5 linked regions of the Sus scrofa genome follow. The protein of the gene in region 4 interacts with the protein of the main gene of each other region in a pairwise test. Links are inferred from orthologs where the notes say so. Each region holds a gene or a part of one and is shown on either strand. Other genes may lie near its edges.

Evidence for each region.
Region 1: the proteins of CRY1 (region 4) and ARNTL interact in a two-hybrid assay, tested with the Homo sapiens proteins (3 studies listed by BioGRID, with this or other methods). The link is inferred for Sus scrofa from reciprocal best matches to the Homo sapiens genes CRY1 and BMAL1.
Region 2: the proteins of CRY1 (region 4) and PLSCR1 interact in a two-hybrid assay, tested with the Homo sapiens proteins (2 studies listed by BioGRID and IntAct). The link is inferred for Sus scrofa from reciprocal best matches to the Homo sapiens genes CRY1 and PLSCR1.
Region 3: the proteins of CRY1 (region 4) and PER1 interact in binary tests that used the Homo sapiens proteins (3 or more experiments, as listed by UniProt). The link is inferred for Sus scrofa from reciprocal best matches to the Homo sapiens genes CRY1 and PER1.
Region 5: the proteins of CRY1 (region 4) and PER2 interact in a two-hybrid assay, tested with the Homo sapiens proteins (5 studies listed by BioGRID, with this or other methods). The link is inferred for Sus scrofa from reciprocal best matches to the Homo sapiens genes CRY1 and PER2.

What each region holds. Positions count from the first base shown.
Region 1 is NC_010444.4:45,895,983-45,899,749, forward strand, and holds part of ARNTL (aryl hydrocarbon receptor nuclear translocator-like protein 1), read right to left. Parts: intron 1,382-3,767; coding exon 1,279-1,381; intron 322-1,278; coding exon 161-321; 3' UTR 1-160. UniProt on the Homo sapiens protein: Transcriptional activator which forms a core component of the circadian clock.
Region 2 is NC_010455.5:86,846,285-86,850,051, forward strand, and holds part of PLSCR1 (phospholipid scramblase 1), read right to left. Parts: intron 3,051-3,767; coding exon 2,830-3,050; intron 1,515-2,829; coding exon 1,353-1,514; intron 1-1,352. UniProt on the Homo sapiens protein: Catalyzes calcium-induced ATP-independent rapid bidirectional and non-specific movement of phospholipids (lipid scrambling or lipid flip-flop) between the inner and outer leaflet of the plasma membrane resulting in collapse of the phospholipid asymmetry which leads to phosphatidylserine externalization on the cell surface.
Region 3 is NC_010454.4:53,373,740-53,378,147, forward strand, and holds the start of PER1 (period circadian protein homolog 1), read right to left. Parts: upstream 2,985-4,408; 5' UTR 2,834-2,984; intron 2,605-2,833; 5' UTR 2,468-2,604; intron 80-2,467; exon of another isoform or gene 1-79. UniProt on the Homo sapiens protein: Transcriptional repressor which forms a core component of the circadian clock.
Region 4 is NC_010447.5:13,274,100-13,278,615, reverse strand, and holds the start of CRY1 (cryptochrome-1), read right to left. Parts: upstream 3,068-4,516; 5' UTR 2,440-3,067; coding exon 2,282-2,439; intron 1-2,281.
Region 5 is NC_010457.5:137,802,438-137,806,204, forward strand, and holds part of PER2 (period circadian protein homolog 2), read right to left. Parts: intron 2,421-3,767; coding exon 1,645-2,420; intron 562-1,644; coding exon 375-561; intron 1-374. UniProt on the Homo sapiens protein: Transcriptional repressor which forms a core component of the circadian clock.

The sequences.
Region 1 (3,767 bases), on a different chromosome or scaffold from region 4:
CACATAGTAAGATTGACTTGTATCAATGGCTCTGAGATGGCTTTTATGAAGACAGTACATAAAAGCTGTTCTCTCCTTGTCCAGTAAGCTTCACAGACTGTAAAACTCCATCAGTAATGCACTTTGATACTGTAGCTGTTGCCAAAGCAACATGTAGTGTTTACAGCGGCCATGGCAAGTCGCTAAAGTCAACAGGGCCACCCAGCCCAGCATCTGCTTCCAAGAGGCTCATTATGACAGCCATTGCTGCTTCATCATTACTGGGACTGCTTGAGCCTTGATCGTTGTCTATCATGTCTATGCCTATGTGAGGGTTCTCACCTATGGGGGGAGATAAAGACTGGTCAGTGATAGTACCAAAGCATGTTTAACTACAGTAAGCAGTTCCTAAGCACACTTAATAACTTTCTTAACAGTAGGGTGAGAAGGATGAGAGATGCTGCTTGGGGGCTGGATTGCCACATATGTTTTAACCTTGGTGTTTTTCAGAGGGAAGAACCAACTTTTTAAGAACAAAGTACTTAAAACACCATAAAAATTAAAAGTATCTGAGTTGACCTCATTTTAATAATCTGATATAACCAGCTATAAGGAGGGAGTTAAAGAAGGAAAGAAATAGGAAGGTAGAGATTAGGGGGGAAAGATTTAGAAAGGTAAGTAGAGAAAAAGATGAGTAGGATGGGAGAAGCAAACTCTTATTTTCTTTTTAGGGCCTCACCTGTGGCACATGGAAGTTCCCAGGTGAGGTTGAATCGGAGCTACAGCTGCCGGCCTGCACCACAGCCATAGCTACACCAGATCCGAGCCACGTCTGTGACTTACACCACAGCTCATGGCAACTCGGGATCCTTAACCCACTGAGCAAGGTCAGGGATCAAACCTGCAGCCTTATGGCTAATAGATTTGTTTCCGCTGCCCCACAACAGGAACTCCAGGAGAAGCAAACTCTTTATCCCTTAATGACTTTTAATATCCTCTGAAATGCTGACTGATCACCGTTTTAGGCATTATCTCTGAACCTCCATCCGATATCCCCTCTGAAGAGATTATGTTCCACATGCTGGGAGAAAGCCTGTGTCAAGGCTCCTCTAGCATCCTCCTGAGTTGCAGGGACAAACCTGGACCTGCACCAGCACCAGCACCCAATCATTAAACTTGTTCTTATCAAGTTTACCTAGAACTAGCTCGTTTTGCATGTTCAGTTCTTAAGATTGACTTTATGCCAGATTTTTTTTTTAAAAGCTCATTGCAATGGAAATAGGTAATAATGCTACTTACCAAGAATAGAAGAGCTATCAGAATATGGATAACCTGGGTTCTCCTGAGCCTGTCCTGGGAGTAGGCCACTAGAAGGAATGTCTGGAGTCCCTCCATTTAAAATCTACAAACAAAAGTGAAGTTTTCACATCATCAACATTTTGCATCAGTAGTATATGTGATGTCACCAAGAAAATGAAGCAGGTTGAAAAGAGGAAGGTGAGAAAAAGCTTAAAATTAAGGCTTTGGTTTCTTACTGGATGATTTCACCTAAGAGACTATTAGGAATGGTCACGGTAAGGAAAAAAAAAACAACACTCTCCCCCAAACTGTTCTCCTTTTTGTATTCCATTCAGCCCACACAGGCAATTTAAGGGCTGAATAAAATCCCTAGAGCATTCATTAACTTGAATCATGCTGTTCACATGTTCTTTAAGGCCAAGGACTAAACCTCAATGAGCCCAGGTGGGCAGGTCCCCTGTAAGGGAGTAAAAAAACGTCTTATAGCAACAGATGTTGCTAAAGAAGAAATAAAGATTATACTGTGAAGAGACACAGCTCTGAGGAGTCGCAAATAAACAAAACACTAGAGATAAATCACTAGTTAAACCTCAAATGCCAGTTTCAGTAATCAGTTGTTGAGAGACTGCTGAGAATTTTTATTACCACTCCTCAGAAGCAGAGCTCTCTGTCTCCCTCCAGCTTCCTCCTCCTGACATGAGTCTCACAAACACCTTTGAGAAGTATTTGGATGTAAGTGAGGAAACGGTTTGGTAGAGGCTTGGATTTCAGGAGGCAGTGATTGCAGGCCTTGCCGGTATATGGCATTACAACCACCCCATAACAACTTTTTGACAAGATTGTCAAAAAGACTACACTCTGAAAAATGAGGAAGCCAAAGAATTTATTTAGGCTATATCATTATTTGCTATATTTGAAGTTGAAACTAATATATTTTTGGAATATGAAAAACTTATTACATATTACCATGAAAAGCAATTTAATGAAAAATAATTTTCCAAAGCATCAAAAAGTGAGAAATGTCGTTTTACATTTTTTTGCAAATCAAATGTCTGGCTTAACAGTTTAACTGGATTCTCATTTGCTTCTCAATTCAAGCTGTTTAGATGTGTTTGAAAAGCATTTATGAAGGAAATCAGGGCTCTCTAGATACGCAGTTGGAAAAGGGAGATGTATTTTAATAGTCTTTTCAAATAATCATGGTCTGCCTCTTTGATATTACATCAAAACTCAGCAAGTGGAAGTTCTTAAAGATCAGCTGCAATGTGGGATTTGAAACCATATGAGTTTATCTTGGCATTTATGATGGATCTTTTACCTCTGTGTGATTTTGAAATATCTTACATTGGTCATTTGCAAAATACTGGTTCACTAAGCTACGCAGGATCTTCCAAACATAGGCACATTTCACTGTCCAGCATCAAAACATCACTATTGCTGGAGAACCTATTGTGGCTCAGCAGAAACAAATCTGACTAGCATCCATGAGGACACAGGTCCAATCCCTGGCCTCACTCAGTGGGTTAAGGCTCTGGCATTGCTGTGAGCTGTGGTGTAGGTCGCAGACGCTGCTTGGATCTGGTGTTGCAGGCAGTGAACTACAGCTCTGATTCAACCCCTAGCCTGAGAATCTCCACATGCCACAGGTGCAGCCCTAAAAAGAAAAAACAAAACAAAAAAAAAATCACCGTTGTTGATATTACCTATATCATCAAATAATATCTTTTAAGTTTGGGGAAGCATTTGAGCTCAAAGCAGTAGATCGAAATTTTCTAAAAATTCTAAATTTTGCTTGAAAGTTAAAATTTTATCACTATCATTGTTTTCCTTGAAATCACAGGTTCATTAATTTTCAAGAAATTGCATGTTAAATACTCAAGTCTGAAAACCACAGTTTGTGATGATAAAAATGATGTCCTATGGAAAAGGCATTTGGTTCAGCTTATAACTTAAATAGTCACACAAGTGCTTCCTCGAGACAACCGTCATACTTTAAGCACAAGTGCTTTAAGCGTACTTGCCATTTTGTAACAGTAGTAAAAAGATTTAGTCAAGGATATTATAAGACTATTTTACTGATTTATGAAGAACATTCTAAGTAGCTTTTAAATTTACCATTTTTTTTATTGTGAGTATGTGGTGGTGAGATCCAGTGAGTACTAGTACAGTACAAGCGTGATTTTTGCAAAAGCACCCGTAGTTTTACCCAACATTGCTTTTGTACTATCAGTTCATATTTCAACACAGTGAGAAAAAGTGTTTTAGCATTATGATGGAAATAATTTTGGCCATGCAGACCCCTGAAAAGATCCCTTCTCCCCCACCCCCACCAAAAAGCCACAGAGGATTAGGCAACTGCTGCTTTATCTGACCCTGCCTTGGTGCCTCTACATGTCTTAACTCTCCCTGAACCTCTGAAGCTCACTAAGCCTCCTTTTTTTTTTTTTTTTTTTTTTTTTTTTTTTTTTTTTTTGTCTTTTTAGGGCCAC
Region 2 (3,767 bases), on a different chromosome or scaffold from region 4:
AATCCATAAATAGGGAACTATTATTATACATAAACCTATAAAGTCATCAAACATAGTATATAGTTCTCCAGTCCACTCCACACACATGCACACACATGCACACACACACACACACACACACACACACACACACACACACAGTATATGCATCCTTTATAAGCGTCTCTATATACATCATACATGTTTTCTTAGAATTTCCTGTCTCTCTCGTTAGACTTTGAGGTCAATGAGAGTAGTAATTCATCCTTATATAACAGAGGAATTAAAAATCATTATGAGAGAAGCCAGGCAGATAATATAAAAGAATGAAGCTGAATAATGGGAGACCTTGGGAAGCCAGAGGACAGTGGCAGAATTCCCATATCTTATTTATCATAAGGGGACAGCTCTGTTCAGTTTTAGATTTCTATCCCTTCTGTAGAAATGGTCCAGTTTAACAGATTTTATGCTTATATGAAAGAATCATGATAGCAAGATAGATTTTATAATCTCTCAACTTTTAAGCATTTGCAACTAAATAATACTTTGAGCCATAAAGCTGGGCCCCACTTGATGAAAAACTGCTGTGATGAAATTCCTCCAGGTAGTAAATATACACACATATTGTGATTTCTAATGAATGAACTTAATATGAGGATAAAAGCATGATCATGAAGAAGCATAATTAGATGCAAACTATTGCCTTTGGAATAGATTAGCAATGAGATCCTACTGTGCAGCACAGGGAACTATGTCTAGTCACTTACGATGGAGCATGATAATGGGAAAAAAATAATGTATACATGTATGTGTAACTGGGTCACCATGCTGTACAGTAGAAAAAAAAATTATATTGGGGAAATGACTATTAAAAATAAAAAAAAGCATAATTAGGTAGTACCTCTTACATTATCTTTGTTAAAATTCTTTCTGCATAATTGAGTTTTCGTAGGAACTCAAAGATATTAGAGCTTCTGAAGAGGGCCTAGAGTACTGGCAGTCAGTGTTTCAGACTAAGAAAGGACTGTAAGCTTTGGCATTCAGACTTAAATGACAAGGTTAATGTTCTGTTTAAAATGGGTAATATACAATGCCTCCATACAGAAACCACCATGTTTAAATGTTAGGTGTTTTGTTTATAGTTACTTGACTACAAAGTTCTGCTTTTCTTTTTTCCATTTAGCATAAGCAACAGTGACACCTAATCAGAGCCATAACCATCTCCCCGACAAAAAATAAATATATGAGCACACTGAGTCCCTTTTGAGGAATCAGGGCATACATATTTACTTAATACATTTGTAACATCCTCTAAGTTTATATTATTCTTATGTTAAGAAAGCAAAACCTATAAACATTATCACATCTCTTACCTCAAAATCAATATCTGCACAACAGCTGCAGACAACACATGGACCAGTAATTTTTAGTACGTCTTCTCGCCTCTCATTTTGAACTGTAAACCTTGGCAAGCATGGGTGCCAGGTTTGAGTAACATAACCTACTGGTATGCCAGGAGGAGCTTGGATTTCTATCTACAAAAGCAAAAGAATATATAAATTGTAATCATAAAAATGTCTAGTAAGAACTCTCATTTACTGAACCCCTTCTAATGTTAGGCACTGTTTTAGTTCGCACCATGTCTTTACCAGGTTGGTACTATCATCTCTATTTATAGAGGAAGTAACTGATGAACAGTGAGGCTAACTAACTTGCATCAGATTCCCCAGATGCAAAGTAGAAGATGAGCTATAAACTCACAATCCCCACTCTGAGCACTGCTCTACTGGTCTCTTAGATTTTAAATTTTTTATACTTAGGAAAAATGTATGGGTGACCCTGAGAGCATCTCAGCATGTTCATCTGTAAATGAGGATTTCCTGTTTATTAAAACCAATAGTATAAAGTATGCTAATGTGCTCTACAAATTGTGGAAAATATTCTATCAAATCAGTTTTCCCTCAACTATTCCTATAAATATTATCACATCTAAATTAAATAACATGAAAACCAAAATTCAGTTTAAATAAGTTCTTTTATCTTTTCAAAATAAGTGCAGTATTAGACATCAGATCTTTATGTGCCTGTGTCTCTGTCTGCCCTGCTCTCACAGCTCCCTGTGCGGATGACCGAGTGACCCAGGCAGTGCTGGGCTCAGGTCAGTGGGGATCTAGGCAAAGGCCAACTTCCTATAAACACTCTGTGCACTGGCATCTCCCTGAGATCTGTGTTCTCTATCAGAGGGCTGTCAAGTACTATGAAAGAGACACCTGGTCTCTCTAGAGCTGAAGGGGTTCACAACCAGCACATCCATATTGCAGGGACTCAAATACAGTACTTTTTTCCAGTGGAGAACTGAAAACAACAGCAGTTGAAATTTCTCAGAGGAAGCCTCTGCTAGGTTTGGTCCTTGTAGGTTGGCGAAAATTGAGATGAACGTATCTGTGCTTTTCCCCATTCTTTTGTTCACTTGCCTCTGGGATGGCGTTCTAGGATATCCTACAGGGTGTCCTCCTTGGGCTTTGGCCAAGCCCCTCATGGTCATTTCAGGTGGGGTACTTCACTAAGGTGCCCTGCCTTCTCGGCTCTCCCTGAAGATCAAGAAGTCTGGCCTCTGAGACCTCTGATCTCCCAGGATGTGCACTGTTCAGGGACATGGGGCTAATTGTTCACTCTTTCTCACCTGCCTTCCTTCCTGTACAACTTACTCTCAAGCAAAAACCAATAGCTTATGGACTTATTTTCCTTTAAATCTCATTTGATTCCATAAATTCAATGATGAGGTGAAAATTCCTGCAGGATTACTTTGCAAAATATTTGCAAAAATTACCCTGGCACTTGCTTACCAACCTCTTGCAGGCAGCAGGGGAAACAACAGCTGGTACATCTTAGTGGTCTCTCCAGAGTTATGACTTCTCGGCCCATATTATCAAGAATTCTCATGGTGAAAGGCCTAGAAGGCCCACAGCAGTTTCTAGTACAGCAATCAGTGTCCTCTGCTGCAAAGTAAATCCTCTGTCCAAGGCTGTTCTTGATTTCATATTTGTTATTAGTTTCAAAGCCTGTTAAGACTAAAAACATATAAGAGGGAATCATTATGACTATTGTGTTAAAAAATAATAAATGTATCCTGGAGTTCCCATCATGGTGTAGTGGTTAACAAATCCGACTAGGAACTATGAGGTTGCGGGTTCGATCCCTGGCCTTGCTCAGTGGGCTAAGGATCCGGCGTTGCCATGAGCTGTGGTGTAGGTTGCAGATGTGGCTCAGATCCCAAGTTGCTGTGGCTGTGGCGTAGGCCAGTGGCTACAGCTCTGATTAGACTCCTAGCCTGAGAATCTCCATATACCTCAGGAGTGGCCCTAGAAAAGGCAAAAAGACAAAAAAAAACAAAAAACAAAAAAGAAAAAATAAAAGAGAAATGTATCCTAAGATACTACAATATCTAGCTATACCATTTTTATTTATTTATTTATTTATTTATTGTCTTTTTTGCCATTTCTTGGGCCGCTCCCGCGGCATATGGAGGTTCCCAGGCTAGGGGTCTAATCGGAGCTGTAGCTGCCAGCCTACGCCAGAGCCACAGCAACGCAGGATCCGAGCCGTGTCTGCGACCTACACCACAGCTCAGGGCAACGCCGGAACATTAACCCACTGAGCAAGGGCAGGGATCGAACCCGCAACCTCATGGTTCCTAGTCGTATTTGTTAACCACTGCACCACGACGGGAACTCCCCCTATTTATTTATTTTTTAATTAATCTTTTTTTTTTTTTTTTTGCTTTTTAA
Region 3 (4,408 bases), on a different chromosome or scaffold from region 4:
GGCTAGGGAAGAGGCCCCAGGCTGCTGCTGACGTCATCGGCTCTAGGTGCACGCCCCTCCGTGTCACGTGGCCTAGGCTCTCCCTGACAATGGTGGGGGGTGGGGGTGGGGGGGGTGGGGGGTGGGGGGGAGCCAGGGCAAGGGTTCTGTGTAAAAGCTGGACACAGGATGGTTAAAGAATAACCCAGAAAAAAACAAAGCCAGAAAACACAAAATAAAGGATTCGGAAGCCTGGATTCTCAGTCTTCTCTCCTTGAAAATGTCCCCCCAACTCCTATACTGTGGCCTAATCCCTGGTCCTATCAGACACCTCTTCTGGAGACACGGTTTTTCTTCGTCCTCAGCACTCCTCAGGGCTTTAGATGTGACCTCCCCCGACACAGGCAGTCCTTGCCCTCCGCCTCCATATTTTTCTCTGGCGTGGACAAAAGGGTCCAGGGCTCCAGCAGCTCCCACTTGCTCTCAAGGCTCTAACCGAGATCCTGCCTCCCGATCCCCACAGTAACCAGGCCCTGCTGCCGTCAATGGAAGAGAGGGGGCGGGAGACGGCGGTGACGTCAAAGCGGAGGATGGGGCGGGGCGAGGCAGCCGGGGAATGTGGGGCAGGGAGGCCGGAGAGGCAGCGGTTTGGGAGGCGGCCAGCCCAAGAGGGCGGCGGCCAGCGCACTTGGGAACATCATGTTCTTTTGGCTGGTAGCCCAGGACATGCACCCAGCCTGGGCGCCTCCCCCAACCCAACGACAGCCGTCCGGTCCCAAAGCCAGGGATTCCTGGAGAGAGGATTAGGAGGAAGGGGTGCTTCCCCCGCCCCCACTCCAGGCTCTCTTCTGGAGACTCGCATCCACCCTCCCTCGGCTGGTTCCTACAGCTCCTGGCATTGGCTTTCCCCCCTCCCAGACTGTACACATCTGCTGGCCCGGTCCCAAAGAGCCAGGGCGGGGAAGTTGGAGGCCCAGGTTCTGCAAGAGAACACGCACCTTTGCTCCTTCCCTGAGGCCCCCTTCAAAGCCTGAATGTCTTGTTACCATGGCAGCAGAGAGAGGGAGGAGGGACAGGGAGGAGAATGGGTCAAGGATGAGGAAATCGAACTGGGACAGAGCAAGTGGCCCAGCCTGGGGCCTGGATCTTGGGGGAGGGATAAAAGAGAGGAATGAGGGACTGGGGCTGGTGCTCCAGCCCAGAAGAACCAGGAAGAGGAGAACAGGGAGGGAGTCACTAAAAGTTGCAAAAAAGCTTAAGAATGTGAGCATTGTCAGTCCCTAACCACAGCATTCACAGAAATCTTTCACCCATTCCTGTTACTGTCACCATACAGCCATATTTTTTAGCTAAAAAAAATTTTTTTTAAATATGACCCAGGCATTTTGCTGAGTACTTTACATACATTAACTTATTTAATCTTCAGAACAAGCCTGTGAGATAGATATCATTATCCCCATTGCACAAAGACCGACTAAGGCTCAGAAGTTACTAAACTTGCCTAAGTTGCTTCATAATATGTTCTCTGACTCTTAACAAATGGGGCCCAGGATTCGAATCTGAACTCTGTTAATGGCTTGTCGTTCTGGCTTCTTACCCTTCAAGAACCTGTGAGGTGTTACCACCTCTGGGGGACCTGGGCCTCTCAAATACCCAGCCCATTCTGAGTTTGGTGCCTGAAACACAGATGCCATCCCCCCCGCCCCAACAGTCAGTCTGCACTCTCTACACACTTCAAATCGCATTGTCCCAGTTTTCATATTCTCACAAAGTCCTTGAGATCACCCTGGCAGCCACTAGCCCCAGTGATCTGCTAGGAACCCCACTTCCTGACTCCTCCACCTCATCACAGGTCACTTTACCACAGGCCTGGTTACTTGTACAGACAGATACCAGAGCACCCAGTTCCTGCCTCCTCCCCTCCAAGGACTCAGGAAGACACACGTGCATCCAATCTGCACAAATCCATCCTCCCTCTTGAGATCCAATAGTTCCTACCCCACGCTCACTCCCAAGGATGGCTCCGAGGCCCAACCCCTTCTTTTTACACATGAGAGAGACATCCAGAGCCACAGCCAAGATGTGACTGGCTCAGGGTCACATAAATCATCACACCACCCTTTTTCAAGTCACCTTGTCAATCCCTTGGTACCCACCCACCTGCCCTACCAGGGCCTCTCTCTAGCTTCACAACTCCTGCTTTTTTTTTTTTTTTCCTTTTTACTGCTGGCCGCAAATGAGGCATGAGTTCCCCGGCCAGAGGTTCAATCGGAGCTGCAGCTGGAGCAACCGGCACAGCCACGGGCAACAAGGAATCCGAGCTGCATCTGCGACCTACGCTGCAGCTGATGATCCTTAACCCACTGAGTGAGGCCAAGGGATAGAACCTGCATCCTCACAGAAACGGCGTCCTTAACCGAAGAAGCAACAACGACGAGAACTTCTCCCTCCACCGCCCTGGCCTCTTTCAAGTGCTTAAGGCACCTACCCGAGCAACAGTCACGCACTGGAACGTCCCCCACTGGTTCTAAAGGGTCCGGTACCTCCTGGGAGCAGAGGTCTCAGCTCCCTCAGGCTGCCGAACGCTTCCGAACCCCTCCCCGCGGCAGTCAGGGATCCAGGCACCTTGGAATAGCGAGGGATCTTAAATCAGTGATTCCTGCTCCCTTCTCTCTAGAACTGAGTTCGCGGCCCCTATTCCCTGCAACCACTAGAGCTCCCACCGCGGCGATCACATATCCACACATTCTCCTTCACGGTACTGCATTAACATTCCTCCTTACGCCACGCGGGAAAAACCTATACCAATCGCCGCCGCTCCCCGCTCCCCACCCCACCACGCCGGAGCACTCACCGCTCGGCTCTCACGCGCGGTACAGTTTCTTCCCAACTAGGATCTCGGAGACTTGGACTCGCTCCTTCAGCCTCGCCCGCCGACCAGGACGCCACGCCCCTCAAGCTTATTGGCCTAAGGGCGCCGACCCATGCCCCGCGCCGCGTGCGGGGCCCCCCCCGCCTCCGCCCAGCTACCATTGGCACCGCCCGCCGCCGTCACCTTCTCATTGGTCAGTTTGCCTACCAAGCGACAGATCCACGTGCGGGAGGGGCCGCCCTAGCGCGTTGATTGGAGGTCTGAGGAAAGACACGCCCCCACTCACATCCGAAATTCTTATTGGCTGTGACTCCACCCCCGGCCTGCCTAGATTGGTGACGCAAACGTCAGTCCAGCCCTCCCAATTTTCTCATAGGCTGAGACATTCCGGAGCTGTAGAGGACACGTGCAGGCGGTCTCACGCGGCAAGTTGTTTACCTAGAAGCTGGGGATTTTCCTTGACGACACTCTTACCCTAGACTGCCGAGTCTGCGCAGGCGCAGATGTGAGCGCCCGTAACTTTGTGGGGGGCGCTTTGAGAGCCGTCCCGTGCGTGACAAGAGCGCCCCCGCGCTGGGACTCTGGACCTGAAACTCCCAGTAGCTGGAAGGTGTGAGCATTAGGTGAAGCGGTCTTCAGGTCTCCGTACCGCGTGACGATGATGACAAAAAGATGATAGCCACCTCCCAGATTATTTTCTGTGGCCAGGCCACGCGCTTCTTATAAAGCCGGAAGAGGCGGCGGCTCACTTCCCACCGCCTCACTAATGATACTGAGATTCAGAGAGGTTACATAATCTGTCCGGAAGAACAAGCTAGTCTCTAATGGGATCATGATTTGAACCCAGATCTCCCACATAAAGAAGGCGGGTCCAAGAGCCTGCGGGAATCCTAAGCCTGTAAAGAACTCAGTAGATGAAGGGTAAAAAGGCTCTTAGTACCTGTCCTGAAAATAGTAAGCCCTCAACAAATGGTGAACATTATGATAATGACTGTATACCTAATTATAAGAATCACTTGGTCCCTTACAACTGCTGACTCAATCTCCGGGGAAGGGGCCTGAAAATCTATTTTAAAAAGCATTCCTGGTAGTTCTCATGAGCCGACAAGTTTAGGAAACATTATCGAGATTTCCTATGCGGAACCCTCATGTTGCCGCCCAGAAAAATGGGCCCTCCGGAGCTCACCTAGCACTCCCACCTACTGTTGAAGTGCCCGGGGTCAGAGATGCAAGGGTACCACATCGGCTGCATTTGTTGCTGGAGATTAAGAGTTCAGTGTGGGGGTCCAGAGTCACCAGTCTGACTGCACACAGGGCAGGGGTGGCAAGCCCTGCAGCCGACTCCACACCACACTCACCTCTGTCTCCCTGAGCCGTTTTGTTCAATTAGTATTTATTAACCCTTCTGGATGTTAGCACTGTTCTAGGCACAAAGGGGAAGAGATGTTTCCCAGTTGTCCACCTATTTCAGGTCTAGGAGTAAATGACCACAGGAGCAACTGCGTAACACCTGAGAGTTAAGTCAAGGAGTAGAAAGGGATCCAAGAAACAGCAAAA
Region 4 (4,516 bases):
GTTGCTTCTCAATCTCCTATGCTGTTTCTTCCACAGCTCCACAATTTCAACACATTAGAGGCCCAAGGCTCATTTCCTGATTTTGGGTTTTGGGGGTTTGTTTTTCTTCTGGGTCTTTTCCTTTTTATTTTTGTGGCCTCACCTGCAGTTGGAAGTTCTTGTGCTAGGGGTCAAATGAGAGCTGCAACTTAGACCTATGCCACAGTCACAGCAACAGTGAATCCAAGCCGCATCTAAGACCTACATGGCAGCTTGTGGAAACACTGCATCCTTAACCCACTGAACAAGGCCAAGGATGGAACCTGCATTGTCACAGAGACAACATTGGTTCCTTAATCCACTGAACCACAACGGGAACTCCCCAAGGCTCAGTTCTTGGACCTCCTCTCTTTTCTACCTATACTCACTCTCTTAATGTTCTGATATAGTCTCATGGCTCTACTAGAATGTAGCTTCAACAAGGTAGAGATTTTTTAGCTATTTTATTTATACTGAATGCCCTGCACCTAAAAGTATCTGGCATGTAGATGAATGACCTGAATTTGTTCAATGAATGAATGGATTAATAAATGGCTTTAAATATTATCTATAAACTGATAATTCTCTAATTTATACCTCCTGCCTGGGTCTCTGTCCTTAGCTGCAGATATATCCAACTGCCTATCCGCTGTCTCCACTTGGATGTGCAATAAACACCTCAAAATTAACCAAGTTCAAAAGAGAACTCAAATCACCCTTTCAATGGCCTTTCCCACTAATCACTTAGCAAAAAGCAGCTCCATCCTTCTCGTTTCTCAAGTCAAAAAAATTTACATCATTCCTAATTCCTTCTCTTTCTCTTATGTCACACATACAATCTGTTGACAAATACTGTGTGTTCTGCCTTCAACATACACGCAACATTTGACTATTTCTCACTATGTCCACCATGATCACTACAGTCTAAGCCATTATCATATCTCACCTGGATGAAAGCAATGAACTGCTAACTGGTCTTCCTGCTTCTTGCCCACCTCCACTCTACAATTCAGTCTGTTCTCAGAACCACAGCCAGAGACTTTTTTAAAAGCTTGATTCAAATCACATCACTTCTCTGCTCATACTCCTACAGTTATTCCCACTTTGCTATGAGTAAAAGCCCAAATCTTGACAACTGCCTATAAAGCTCTACTCAATCTGGCCCATTACATCTTTGACCTCATTTACTACTTTTCCTCTCATTTACTCTGCTCCAGTAGATCGGTTTCTTCTGCTATTCTTTCCAAAGGTTAAGAATATCTCCATCTCAGGACCTTTTATCTTACTGTTCCTTCTCCCTGGAATGCTTTTCCTTAGGTATCTGTAATCTATTACTTGCTTCATCATCTTGCTCAATATGGGTTTTTCCCTATCACCATATTTTAAATTGCAACTCCAATCCCACCCCGTCGTATTTTTCATCCCCTTTCTCTGTATTTCTGCACATCATTTATCACCACTAAATACTATATACTTTCTGGGACATGTCTTCAAAAAGGACAAGAATTTCTGTCTGTCTCATTCAATAACTGTATCCCTGGTGTTTTAAACAGTGCCTGGTATACAGTAGGTGATCAATAATCTGTCAGCTGAATGAATATTCTCATTCCACCAGGCGGTCTAACAATCATCTAGCCTGGCATTTCGAGAAAAGATGGTAAAACTTCTCTAAGATTTCTTCCAGTGCTCTGAATCCTAGGATTATACTTTGCTTAGAAAGAAAAACTGTGCTGTGTCTAGTCAACCACAAGGAGGAGTTGAAAGAGTTGAGCAAAGGGAAATGTAGTCTTCCTTGCTTTTCCCAAAACAACCTCAAGGTGGAAGAAAACTGGGTTTGGAGGCGACAATACTGAATGAATGATTTTCTCCATTCTATGAGTTACCTAGACACACACAAACGTAAACATTAAAAACCGCAATCCCTTCAGTGTCACACGGCGGCCAAGGAAATCAATCCATGGCCACTTAATTGGAAGGGGTGGTTCTTTAACTCCCCCACTAAGAATTTTCCATAAACGCAGAAGAGTCCTCATCAGCACAGAGATACATAACTCATAGCTGAAGGCCAAGGTGTTCCAGGCTGCCGGCACTCTTCGGCCAGAGAACCATTAAGCCCATTCTATTTAATGCTTAAAGCACCTGCAATAATTAAAACTGCATAAGCACAGCGGTCCCAGGTCTACATTCTTAGATGTGGTCGATCGCACGTAAAGTCCCAATTCATGAAACAACGAAATCAATTTCTCACAGGATTTTGACTCACCTCCACCTGTTGATGCCCACATTGGAAGAGCCGGCGAACCAGGGGTCGAGGATGTAGACGCAGCGGATGGTGTCGGCGCCCTGAATGCACTCCTTCAGGGCGGGGTTGTCGTGAAGCCGGAGCCCCTTTCGGAACCAGTGCACCGCGTTCACCCCCATCCCGGGGGCGCGGTGGGCGGCAGGCGGCGCGGCGGCGCCGCCGAGTTCCTGCCCCGAGAAATTCAGGGCAAGAGGGTCCAGCTCATAACCGACACCCCCGCTTCCAGGAGAATCGCCGCACCCAAGGAGTGAGGAAAGGGCAGCAGAGCGGGGAAAGGAAAAAATGAGTCCGAGTAGGGGACCCGCGAGGGAGAGGGCGCTGCCCGTGCGGCTGGAAGATGAATGGAGATTGCCCAGTCAGCGGAGTCCTGCCGTGACGCCCTTTAAGAGCCGGCACCCGCCACGACCGCCTGGATGAGACGCCTAACTTCGAGGGCTCCGGACCCCCGGAGGATGAGCAAGTTCCACGAGCCCGAGCCGCCACGACGGCCCGAGCCGGCGCGGGCAGCCCCAGGAGATTCGTCACGGAAACCTCGCCCCACGGAGGCGGCCCCTGAAGCGCAAACGGCCCGCCTGAGGCAAACCACCGACAGGGAGGAGAGAGAATTCAGCGACTGTCGGCCACGCTACCTCTCGGCCCAGGAAAGAGGCGTGAGGACGGAACGCTGAGGCGGTGGTCAAAGCCGCTGGACGGTTGCCGGCCCGAGACCGGTCCCGAGGCTGCCCGGGTGACTCCTCCGCCACCGCCGCGTCAGCGGCCTTGGCCCCGCCCTCGGCTCCTCATTGGACAGAGCGCTCCCCACGTGACCCCCGGCACCTCACGTTTCTGAAGTGTGTTTACTACAGCGGCTCTGACTGGGGACTCTGCTCGCTATTCAGTCTCTAATTTTTAGACGGCAGCCGCTCCATCTCAAAACCGTCGACCCTCGCCCAGACGCTAGACTCTCTGCCTCTGTCCTTTCCTCCGCGGACGAGTCGCCGTTGCCTGAAAGCGCCCACGGTGACCAGAGGCCCCGTGTGAGGCAAGATTTAGCCCCGCCCTCGGGGGCCGTGAGCGGCCACCATTGGCCGAGGCTCTCCGAGACCCGGATGAGCACGGGTATGCGGGGAGTTCGCGAGCGCGCGCTCAGTTCCGGTAGGCGCGCGTGCGCACTCGCTGCCTTACGGAGGGAGGCGAGGAAGGCGGGGCCGGGCTGCTGGAGCGCGCTTGGGGCTTTTTCCCGGGGGGTTTCGGGGGAAGGCCAGGAAGCTTCCTGGTGTCTTAACAGGAGGCGGTGGGGGCGCCAGGTGGGGAGTGCGGGCGGTATGCGGTGAAAAGAGCGGAGTAAGAGGCTCCCCTTAGACGTGGAGCCCAAACCATGTGCTTCCTTCCAGCTTGACTGCAGAACCCAACCCTGCCTTGGAGCGTGTAGAGCTGGCGTCCTTCTCATTCTTGTGGCCCTCGAGGCAGAGCACCCTTGCACGTGCTCTGGGGAAGAGGGGTAATTCATAGGATTGGTGCCAGGTGTTACTGCAATTCCTTGATACCATCTGTATATTGTCAACTTGTCAGCCCTAGTTTCTTAAAGTTGGTGCGGTTTATAGGGCTCTTTGTGATGGGGCCTTTGCCTACCTTTCTAGAGGCAATGCTTCATGCTCCAGAGCCTATTATACTTTTAAAAAGTGTTTCATGTTTCATTTTAGGTAGTTTGAAAGTAAGCAGATTGTGTCTAAAGACACAAGAATTATTTTCAAGCATCCAAATGCAACAGTTGTAAGTAGTATTGATTTGTGTAGAATTGCCTTATTTTTGCCTATTGTCCATTCAATAAAGAAGGGTTTTTTTTTTTCTTAAATAGCTGTATGTGGATGTATGTAACTTTCATTACACCTAAAAGTACTAACTTTTTATAAAAGCATCAGTACTGTCAATTGTGCATTCCTCAGAGACTGAAGGGTTTTTAATGGCATATAGATTGTTAATATATCTTTGAGAGGAGTAACCATTTAATAAAAACTTTGACTTAACACCTACTATAGGTCAGGCACTTTATATTGGTTATTATGAGCCCTCATAATAATCTTATGAGGCAGCTTAGTATTACTTAATTTATGCCCACTTTGCAGTTGAAGACATTGAAGCTTCGAAATAAAAATAAATAGATGAAACACCAAGACTGTTTCTGAATCCAAAGCTCTTTCCTTATCACATCCCTCA
Region 5 (3,767 bases), on a different chromosome or scaffold from region 4:
TTCCAGCACACCCGTGGAGCCAGAGGGACAGTCCAACCAGGGCCACCTGGGGTGCGGGGCCTGATGACCTCGGAAGGGACAGACAAGAGGGCCTTGGGACCGGCTGCGGCCCGCCACTGGCACCGGCAGAGGCAGGAGGAGCTCTGCCTGCCCGTCTGAGCTGCCGTGGGCTCTGCAGAGCCGCCTGGGTGGCTGGATCCCCTGGGGACCCAGGCTGCGCCTGATCCGGGCCCAAAGCACCGCCTGCGGCTCGGGTGCAGCTGGTTCCCTGCAGGGTGGACAGTCAAGGACACCAGTCCGTCGTGTGCGAGCCTTCCAAACGCACCTGAATCACGCACCCCAGCACTCAGATGCTCCCAGCGCCACCGACATACCTGTCCCACTTGGGGATGCGTCGCAGCCCTGTGAGCCTGAGCCCAGGGAACAGGAGGTGGCGGAGGCCCCGCTTCCAGAGAGCGCCGAGCCCGCGGCAGAGCAGACGTCCGCGTGCAGCAGGAGGTGGAGCAGGCCGCTGGACGCTGAGAGGGCGTCGCTGTTCTGGGCGTCGGCTGGCTCCTCGCCCTTTGGGGACAGGGAGGAGACACCGGATCATGCATCGCGCTCAGAGTGAGGCCCGTCTGCACAAACACCCGGGACACAGTGACCGCCACCCCTTCCTTCGCGTGGCGCCTGCACAGGCCCCACGGTTACTAGGACCACAGTGAGCATCTCAGCGGTGGACGGGACACCACCCATCGCATTCAGTCCAGGAGAGTCCCGCTAAAGACGGCAGCTCTCAGATCCCTGGGGAAAAGCTTCCGCTCCCCCAGGGCAGAAACGGAAGCAGAAGACGCCTCTACAGGACCCCACGGGTGCCCCTCACAGGGGCAGGGCTTCCCGCTCCTGTGCCCCCAGGGTGGGGACGGTGCTGGGCGCGAGGGGGCTGGGCCCGGGCGCACCCCGACCCTCCCATCCTTGGACCCCAGGCCCAGGAGTCAGGAGACAGAGCTGCTGGGAGAACCACCCTGGGTTCCCCTGTCGTTTCCCTGGTGCACAGGCCGGGGACACCCACGCGGCTCCCCCACCGCAGGGCGCCCATGGATGCACCCCCTCAGCTGACGCCGTCCCACGCCTGAGTGCTCAGAACACAGAAGGGTCTAACTGGAACTCACTCCCATCTCATTAGCCAGGAGAGAGGACGCGGAGGTGACCCTCAGGCCTGGGGGCATGGGGACCCGGCCCTGGTTCTGAGCTCCCTCCTGGCCCTGCTCCTTCGCCATGGGCGCCGGCTCCACTCCAAGGGGCTGCATTCTAGACTTCACCCTGACTGCGCTTTATCCTTGAAGGATTCATTCAAAACCCCGAGGCCATGACAAGTCCCCACGTTCCCTGTGGTCCCTGGGCCCTGCAGCGACCGACAGACGGTCACTCTTCCTTCAGACCCCGGGACGCCAGGAGCTCCCTGGCCGACGCTGATGGGGCCTGTTACCTGGAAAACCTTCCTCTCTAGCGCACCTATTGACGGCAAAGTTGCAATGGCTCGGGAGTGACCTCAGTGTGGGGACACCCACGTCTGAGGCCAGGGCGTGGGCATGCCCTGCCCATGGTGCCCACGTCTGCTGCCTGCCTGCCTGCCTTAGAGAAGGGGCATCAGGAGATTCTTACGGTCGTCAGTGCCTTCGGCTGCCGGTCCCAGGCCGAGCCAGGCTTGCAGTCTGGCCCCGCACCTGCCGCCCCCGTGGCCGAGGCGCTGCCCTCGGGGGTCTCCTCCAGCTGCAGCAGGTTGAGCTGCAGGGGCGAGCTTCCGCGGGACTGGAAGAGCGGCGGGGAGGTCCTGCCTGCGGGCCCAGCGGCTGATGGCAGGGTGGCCGGGGTGGCTACACGTGACGCTGGTGGCCCATGCTCTGCCCGAGGACATGCATGTGGCTGTTTGGGGAATGAGGTCTGACCAGGGAACTCAGACTGTGAGGCAGGAGTCACCTGGGATGGAAAGCTAGGCTGGCCGGGGAAGAAGGTCTGGGGCAGGTTCGAGGCCACTGAGGAGAAGGGGTAGCTGGGGACCACCAGCGCCAGGACTGGGGCCAAGGGGCCGGCGAATGCCGGGGGCTGGACCGCAAACTCGTGCTGGGTGTCCACGGGCACCGCGAAGCCGGCGTGGGGTGCTGCTGCCACGGTTCCTGGGACTGGAAACACGGGCAGGGAGTAAGCTGGCACCGGGGCAGGGAAGGGCATTGAGGGACAGCTGGACTGAGACGTGTCCGATGGTGACCAGGCTGTGGCATTCAGACCCAGCAGCGGGGGCCTCTGGGGCACCGGCCCCCCAGACCCAGTGCTTCCCGAGGAGTCACGAGGCTTGACCCGTTTGGACTTCAGTTTTCTGTTCTTCCCGTTTTTTTTCCAAGATGAGTCCACCCCGGAGGGATTTCTTAGTCCAGGAGCAGCTAAAATAATGGGAAAACAGGGAGCGTTAAAGGTAACATTGTGTTGTGTTTCTCGTGACTTCAACTGTCAGAGATCTGCGGAATCTCAGAAACCTGAAGCACAAGACCCATGTTCCCAACGCCACCCGGGGCCACCATCCACCTGGTCGCCCGGATCCTCAGGTGAGAAAAATCAGGGCAAAACGTCAGGTCTTCACAGAACTGGATTCAATCAACTCAAAGGACTATCCTCTGTTGCAAGGTCACATTGCTCGTGTTCTTCTGACATTAAAGTGCACTTTCTTGGTGTTCCCGTTGTGGCTCAGGAGTTAACGAATCCGACTAGGAACCCTGAGGTTGTGGGTTTGATCCCTGGCCTCGCTGAGTGGGTTAGGGATCCGGTGTTGCCGTGAGAGCTGTGGTGTAGATCGCAGATGCGGCTTGGATCCGGCATTGCTGTGGCTGTGGTGTAGGCCAGGGGCTACAGCTCCGATGAGACCCTTAGCCTGGGAGCCTCCATATGCCTCGGGTACAGCCCTAGAAAATACAAAAAAAATAAAATAAAATAAAAAATAAAATAAAATGCCCTTTCTTTTATGAAGTAATGGTGACAAGTGGTGTTAAAAGGTTTTATTCGTCCAAAACAGTAGGAAAGCTGGCAAGTTGATGCTGTTCCCCGTTAGAGGTCTGTGAAATCTTAAAGGCAGAACCGAACTTTATCGCTGTTCCTTAAAAAGAGACGTTTCCTGTTTCACCTGCCAAATAAGCCTGCGATTCCACCCCGTGAGGTCAAAGGGTCAGAGGGACACTAGCCCTTGGAACTGGTGCTTCCTCTCTGATGACAAGTGCTGCCAGAGAGGCCTTCTTCAGGACACTGGGGGGACTCCACTGGTGACATGAGGGACTCTGGGCATGTCCCCCCACCTCCCTGGGCCTTGGGGCAGGATGGGCAATGGCCCGGTTCCCAGAAGCCTCAGTTCTCCCTCTCTGTCATAGAGGGTAAATCTGGCCTCTTGCAGCAGGTATGTGGGGACGTCCCCTGCCAGCTCGCCACACGCAGCCAGCTCAAGGCCAACTGCTAAGTGGGTGGAGGTTTTGTGATTCGGCCTGTCTGGTGTTCTTCCCACAGGAAATCTGTCCCCTGTTGGGACTAGCAGCTAAAGCACTGGGCTCCTGGGATAGCACACCAGGGTCCGGGCAGGGCTGCTGTGGACAGCTGTGCAGTCTGGGCACTGCACAAACTGCTGGGCCAAGGGGCCGGAGGGGGCTGGACTCCTGCAGCAAGCTGTGGCCACGGTTGGGGGGTGTACCTTTTCCCAATTTCCACCGAGGTCCCCCATGTGCTGGCAGTGACCCTGAGCCTAGTGA